Nothobranchius furzeri: one gene and its partner. The protein of the gene in region 1 purifies or fractionates together with the protein of each later gene. This does not show direct contact. Links are inferred from orthologs where the notes say so. Each region holds a gene or a part of one and is shown on either strand. Other genes may lie near its edges.

Region 1 (3,822 bases):
AGTTCAACTGCTCCACATGTCGCTTGTTGCCAAAAAAAGGACAGCTCCTCCAGTTCTCTGCCAACTTTTTTGCGTGTGTTTCTGTACAGCTGCGGCAAGACTACTTCACTGAAATACTTTCAGCTGGGTAGCTCATACCTGGGATCCAATGTTTTCATCAAATTTATAAACTCCGTCTTCTCCATGGTATATATGGGTACCATGTCTTTTGCTGTATACAAAGCAACCGTGTCGGTGATTGTAGTCCACCGGGCCCCTTTCTTGTCATATGCGGTCCCCTGTGCGAACGATTTGGCTACAGTTAGCAATTTTTTAGCCGCTGGTTCTTGGTCACTGCGGCTTTGTTCGTCTCGGAGAGACTGGCATTTTTCGTGTTTGGCTTGATGCCTCTGTTTTAGGTGTTGAAACAAGTTAGTGGTGCTGCTGCTGCCTTTGATTGCAACGGGTTTTAGACAAAGGTTGCAGCATGGGGTCTCTTGTTTTATGTCTGTTGCAGCAAACCCATACCAGTTCCAAACAACAGATGATTTTATCCCCTTCTTCGGAACAAACTTCCCACTCTCACCGCCATCACCGGTCGCCATGTGGTCGCTTGCTGTCTGTTGTTTTGTGTGTTTTTGCTCGCTCGTGGGTGGGGAACCTGATGCTACGGGACCTCCGGAGGGCCAAAAAGGCGCCATTACAAAAACTCGATTTACCTACTTTATGAATCGCCCGCAACAAAAAATTCGAATTAATTCATTTTATCGATTTTTCGCCCAGCCCTAGTAGAAACTGATCTTTGAGCCTCTATTTGCATAGAACATTTAGTCGGAGCTTAAAATGTCCCTAAAAATAGACAAAACAGGCGTAATAAGACCTGCTTTCCCCCACTCTACCAGTGTGTGTGTGTGTGTGTGTGTGTGTGTTGACTCAAGCCTACAGTAGAAGGGTTTGGAGGAGAGAAAAGTGAAAACTAGGAACCACAGCCTTTATAATATAAATAAATAAAATAGTACGTTATAAACGTACAGGCATATAACGGACAGGTCTACTGAGAAAGACTGTAAAAATGAACCCTTTAGGGCCAAAGTGGCAATATTGTGACCAGCATCATTGCTGGGTTTAACGAGTCACAGAGGCTAATCTAATGGCTCATGGGTCGCCGCCACAGTTACGATGGTGTTGGGATGAAAAGGGAGAAATGGGAGTTGGGGGTGGGGCTTGTTTCATTCTGCTTGTTCTGGATTGAAAGCTAAAGGAGCTGAGAAGAGAAGTCTGTAACGAGCCGTTTTGTTGGATTAATGTAATAAATTATCTTCCAGAATAAAACAGCTGGTGTGTTCCTGTTGACATTTTCCCATCTGGAGACTCCCGACCCAGGACAGCAGACAAGCGGAGCACACAGAAGACAAATATTATTTATTAAAGTGGAAAAAGTTGCAATGCTGACGGGTCTGTTCACTGTTGACTAGGGATGGGTACCTTTGACATTTGAATGGATTCTGTACTAACTCCCGGTACCCAGGAATCGATACCGGTACTTAACGGTGCCAATTTTAGATACTTGTGAGTGTTTTATTTTAATTCTCTTTTATAATTAAATATATATTTTCTCAATATATAACCATATTTGATAAATATCACGATAAATAACATACAACTGTTTGTATTTTAACATAGACTGTGGATCTATCTGGCATTTATTTGTACTCTGGATTTTTCAAGTATATCCTGAAACCTTCGTGGTGAGTAGTGTTTTTCTCTCTTGCAACAAAGCTGTAGCTAGCTGAGGCTAACAGCTAGCTGGTGCTAACTAGGGTTGGGAATAAAAACTGGTTCTTGTTGAAAACCGGTTCCTATCGTTTCAATTCCTAGGAATCGTTCGGCACTTTTGCAAACGTGCCCCTTATCAATTCCAGTCTGCGCGAATGACATCACCGTGCACGTTGCGTAGCTTACGGAAGCAGGAAACATGGCGTCTACGCGGCACAAATGCTCGAAAGTTTGGTTATACTTTACACGAAAGCATAACAACAGGGTAACTTGCAATAATTGCAGAGTGGATTTTTCATCTAGGTAAAAAGCCTTTGGGCACAAAATACGCGATAACGTAGAGTTAATGACGTGTTTAGACCCGCTCCGAGCTAGGAATTTCAACGCAGCACACCATGGTTTCCATCCATGGCCACAGAAACACCAACAGCTCGGCTGGTGGCCTGTTTGTTGCTTGGCTGACGTGTTAAAGGCTACACCCTTACAGTAGAAAGGCCTACTAGTGTTGGTGACAATACTTACTGGTTCCCTCTTGTAAGGCGATCCTTTTTCTTTTTGCATATGCCCGGAGGTGATTGGAGAGGGCAACTCCGCTGTGGAAAGTTGCATTGCAATGAATGCACATCTTCCTGTTGAATTCACCCTTTTCTGCAAAAAAAGACACAAAATGTAATAACATTTTCCTAAGTACATTACATTGATCTTAGGACATGACTAAGATCTGAGCATAGCTGAAGCCAGTCTACATATCTCTGAACTGCAAAAAACGTTCAGGAGTTCGACCATTCATCTATCGTTGATGAGTGTCTGTGCAAAAACTTAAATCTGCAATGACAGTTTTTGTGCAATCTTCTCAAATTTTACCACAGCAATTACTTTAATCACTATACAATCATAGACATATCGTTGCACGAAGCCAATTAACTGATGTTTGATATAAAAATGTTGTGTTGACGTAATTTCAAAACCTGCATTGAAAATGAGCTCGTCTAAAACAACAAAATTAAAAAATTGCTAAATTATCATTAAAGTTGATGTGATGTATTGAAATATTTAATAATGAATTGGCAGTGCATAAAAATAAAGTCAACGCTAAATGTTCCAAACCTTACCTGTGTGATTCAAGAGAATCAAATAAGTGTAAGAACATAGCTTCTGTTAGAAAATAACGTCGACAACATCAGGGAATTCCTTTGAAGGAATTCTGCCTTTTACCTTTCTGAGGACGTTGCTTACCAGATGGAGAGTTTGGCAGTGATCCTGAACTGTGCTCACTATTTGAAGAAACCGTTGACTCATTTCTTGAGATCGGAGTTGATCCTTTTAGTCTGGCGTCTTCTTGACACTTCCTTTTTTTCAGAATCCCTATTAAGGCAGTTGTGCCTGAGAGAGAATTTTTAACACCCATCTTCTCCAACTGCCCATTTTCAGACTTAATGTCAGATAAAGTAAATGTGGGCATCAGTGGTTTGGTGTCCGTGAGAACACTTGGGATGGAATGACTTTTGGGGAATCTGGTCTGAGAAGAGGTGAAGCGATTAGTGATGGGCAGCTTTGGTGAAGCACCATAATGAAAATGGTTTCGTCTTCTTCCCAGAATCTGAAGGGCTTGTTGAAATTCCTTTTTGTCTCGCATCAACTCATGCAGTAAAATGATTGGGGATTTGCTCTTTGAAGCAAAATTTTTCCCAAGCTTTTTCAGATGACCTCTTATATGGTTAGACTGCCCCGTCCTGTTATCGAACGCATCCCCACAGAGCGGACAAGTGTGGAGGTCAGTCACAGTCTCCGAATCTGACTCTAGCTGTAGTGCTGGAGGAAAGAACAAACACACACACACACACACACACACACACACACACACACACACACACACACACACACAAAATTACAGTGTATACTTGTCATGAATACCACCTCACAGCCATGTTATTAATACTTGTTCTGTGCTTGGTTCAGTTACAAAAATGAGGATAAAGGTCTTAAAATCAGCTAAACTGTTAAAAATAACAACACCAAATATTGAACAGCTTTATATCCAATCCCCATTGTAGAATGTTGGGATAC
Region 2 (4,118 bases), about 42 Mb from region 1:
GCAATGATCAAATGACAGGTAAAACTATGGTTGGACTGATTTTAGTCTCCTTTAAATGTTTCCATTCATCAACACTTCCTGCCAGCTGTTCCAGGCTTTTTTGGAAGTTTAACATCTCCGACAGGCAAATAGCTGTTAACATGTGACCAGTTACTTTTAAAATAAACTCCATAATGTGTCTTTACAAGTGGTTATAGAAGAAACCAACCATTATCCATTACTGAGAACCAGCAGACTGAAGCCTCATTTACACCAAGTGCAGAACAGAATGAGCAGCTGATAGAGCTCCAGACAGGTGTGGACATTCATGGTCCTCCTTGGATAAATATCTCACCACTGTTCCTCTAAGGAGATCAGAATGCTGCTGCCAAAATAACATTCTGATGTAGGCCAAGGATTGATACCCTGACAGAACCACTCAGCTGGCTGTGACACTTTTAATAAAGCAACATTTAGGTTTTCTTTTTTCTGTATGCATTTGTCCTAAACTACAAATGAAGAGGGTAAAACTAGGCCACATAAAACCTTTATTTGAACTTTATATTTACAAACTGTAAACAAAGCGTTCATTTCAAACACGTCGGCACTTGCATCAAGGAACAAAACATTTAACTGAACTCAAAAAGGTTGACATAGACTCAAGTAAAAAAAATAAACAAATTGGAATGTGGACTGACATTATCGCTTTTTGACTAATCTTATATCCAACCCAGTCACCTGCTTTGACAAACTTTTAATCTACAATACCCCAACTGCCATACAAATGATTTTGTCTCAAATCAGCTAAAGTAGCTAAAGAAGAAAAAAAAAAGCAGAACAGAGAACACAATAAAAACCTAAAACATAAAGGTGTGCAGAATCCAGGCAAAGGCTACTGAGCCTCATCCTCTGGACAGGAATGCCACGTCAGCCGCTCCTCATAGAAGGATATGACCACCTGAGGGCAGCGCGTGTTGGCCTCACGAGCAGGGACCAAGTCTGCTTCATCTGACTCTTTCCTGGGGGACAAAAAAATAAATAAAAACTAAAATAAAACAGCAGATCTTAGAAAAGCCTATTTAAAAATCAAAGAAATAAATTATATATATTCAAGTGATTTTATTTCTAAATACTCTACATGTTTGTAATAAACCTTTTCCGCTTTTAGTTCGACTCCCTAAAAAAACACTAATGGCCATGCAAAGCAACCGAGGTAAATGTGAAACTACTCTTGTTGAAATTGGGTGTAAAGTCTGCCTAACTCACCACTTCATCAAGAACATCAGCTCCCCGCTGCTGTCTGTGGCACCAATGATTCGCTCTGGCTCCAGGTTCCTGGCAAAGCCGCGAGGCTTATCAGGCTGTCAAATAAAAACAAAAACAGGTTATAAACCATATTCTGATTGCACAACCTACAGGGAATCATGCTAGCAGGTCAGAGACATAAAAAACGTATAATCTAACCACATCTTTCTTCTTGGGTTCCTCTTCTGCATCATCTGTGGAGGCCTTCCTCTTCACTGCAGCCGGCTTCTCCTTTATATTCTTCTGGGAATCCAGAAAGGCCTGAATGAGCTCGGGGCAGTCCAGGTTATCCTCGGGTTCCCAGGTGTTGTCCGCTCTGAGGGAGCAAAAAAAAAAAAAAAAAAAACAGGTTAGCGTTCAAACCAAAAACATCCCAAACGTGTTAAAAGGGAAAAGCTGGGAGGCTTCATGCAGCCACGGTGCGTTAGAGGCGGAGAGAGCAGGACATTGTCCCGGGTAACTCACTCTGTGAAGCCTTTCCACTTCAGGTAGAACTCTACTTTCCCGTTGACGATCCGCTGGTCCAACACTTTCTCCACAACAAATTCTTCAGGCTCCTCCTGGGTCTCGGTCTCCTTCTTAGGCTTTGTATTCTGTTTCTTGCCCATTTTGCTTTTTAAAGATAAAAAGACGAGCCGCATTTATTCGGAAGGCCTTAAATCCACCCGGATGCTAGGCTACAAATAACTCAGCCAACGCTAACATAGGACATTACTCTAATTTGGCCCACCTGCTAGTTAGCTCAGCATTTAGCAGCTAAACGTAACAAAGGTTGCTAACACGCTGACCCCTTACCTAAAATTTCCTTGATTTTAAACAGTCTCATCTGCGGATTTTATTTGAGCAACAGAATTAGTAGAATTGTAAAAGATAAAATAAAAACTGTGGTAAAACTACAACACATCCCCACAAAACAACACCTTACTTGCCTTACTTTCAGCTAGCTTAACATATTACAGTAATAGCTAAACAATGGCGATGCTAACGCTGCTGGGTCAACAACTAAACTGCTGTTTGTCAAAAAACCAGCAACGTATAGGTGGCGTTTTAACACGCTCAGAGTAGCCTGATGTAATTAAAGAAATACTCAACATTGTTTTAAAAGAGAAGAACTCCGCACACTCACCCAAAGCGCGCGGATTTCTATAGTTGTTCAGCACCACGCCGCTCGGATGAAGTCGATCCCACAACGAAGGCGGCGCCAAAAACTAGTTGTGGCTACGGAAGCCCAGAAGGAAAAGCGATTCGTCTGCAGCCGAGCTGACCCATGTGTTCCAGAAGGGCCCTTTTCATGAACCAAGGCTTCAAGCCGCTAGTTAACGCAATCTGAGACACGTTGGTAGTAAATGAAAACGTTTATATATGTTTTAAACTATAAAGTAGTGGAAGGAATAAAGCATAAACACTAGCAATCATTTTCTTTTTCAGATTGTTCAAAAATGAAAAATTTAACAAATTGACCCCAAAGTCATAATGCTAATGCTGAATTCAGATTAAATTGAGCACCTGATGTCTCAAGTTGTTTAGATTGTTCTCAGACTGAGTGAAACAATTTCTTTTACTTTCTACTGAATACCGTAAATGACTGGCTTGTGATTTTGAACGAGTATTTGTTAAATATGCTTTACAGCCATATTTTAATAAATCTGTCTGCCTTCTGTCCTGAAATGATGCCGGTCAACACAGGTGTTCAGCTCAGGTGAGGAAAATAATGTTGATATGCTCACCAGCACGCAGCACCATAACAGTAATGGTATATATAACCTGTTAGCCAGACAAAACAAGACATTATTTAAATGTTTTTAATAAAGAAATCAAGTATTCTTCAATCAGATTTATCTTTTCAATAATCACCGCAAACAGACAGACAAATGTGACTCATGCATGAAAAAACAAGATGTATGAAAGTGAAATGCACACAAATAAACGTTTAAACCAGGACAAAGAGAAAACATGATCTTTGGATCACAATTAAGTTTATACACTCCCTAGTGCAGGGGAGTCCAATCCTGGTCCTGGAGAGCCAGTAACCAGCAGGTTTTGTGGTTTTTCTGCTTCAAAATGCTTGATTAGCTGGTTGAATCACCTGTGCAGCAGCTCATCAGGCTCTGCAGAAGCCTGTTAATCACCTGCTGATTGAAATCAGGTGTGCTGAAGCAGGTTAAAACGAAAAACGTGCTGGATAACGGCCCTCGAGGACCAGGATTGGACACCCCTGCCCTAGTGTAATCAAACACTCAGCCTGTCATATTGCATTCTCTAATAATCCCAAACATATAAACAGACAACAATCATTCTTGTTTGTGTAGCGAGTGGATAACATATTTTGCATGACAGGGGATTTCTTCTGTTCTAAAGTTATTTTTAGGTGAGGTTGTGCTTTAGTAGATGTGAGGGGATTCATGTCAGATCAGCTGACTTAAGTAAAGCACAAAAGGGTCAGCAGATGAGTAAAGTTTGCCTTTTTGTGCCATTTAGAAGCATCTTTATGGGAAAAGTGAGAAATTATGTTTTCCAGAATGGGTCTTTGTAACATAGATACAACCTTATGTATCATTTTGGGTGTATTTTAGGAGTAAAGAGATTATAAAACAATTATAAACAAGAAAAAAACTGATTAGAATACCTCACACAATCTCACTGAGAAAGAAAATCCATTTTAGATGAAACTGGAGCCAAAAATCACAGAAAGTCATCCCTGTAAACTGGAAATCAAACAAAAGAAGTTGCGTGAGACCGTTTTAGAATTGTTCTATTTAACTCAGCAAACCTTACAGAAGCACGCTGCATATAAAACAACATTCAACAAAGCTGGGACCACCGCTTTGGTTCAT

Evidence for each region.
Region 2: the proteins of znf644a (region 1) and cbx3a purify together in Homo sapiens (affinity purification with mass spectrometry; 3 studies listed by BioGRID and IntAct, with this or other methods). This does not show direct contact. The link is inferred for Nothobranchius furzeri from reciprocal best matches to the Homo sapiens genes ZNF644 and CBX3.

The regions. Positions count from the first base shown.
Region 1 is NC_091751.1:71,506,920-71,510,741, forward strand, and holds part of znf644a (zinc finger protein 644a), read right to left. Parts: intron 3,568-3,822; coding exon 2,992-3,567; intron 2,404-2,991; coding exon 2,278-2,403; intron 1-2,277.
Region 2 is NC_091751.1:29,401,507-29,405,624, reverse strand, and holds cbx3a (chromobox protein homolog 3a), read right to left. Parts: upstream 2,560-4,118; 5' UTR 2,411-2,559; intron 2,398-2,410; exon of another isoform or gene 2,080-2,397; intron 1,897-2,079; 5' UTR 1,893-1,896; coding exon 1,750-1,892; intron 1,601-1,749; coding exon 1,444-1,600; intron 1,341-1,443; coding exon 1,246-1,340; intron 999-1,245; coding exon 872-998; 3' UTR 511-871; downstream 1-510.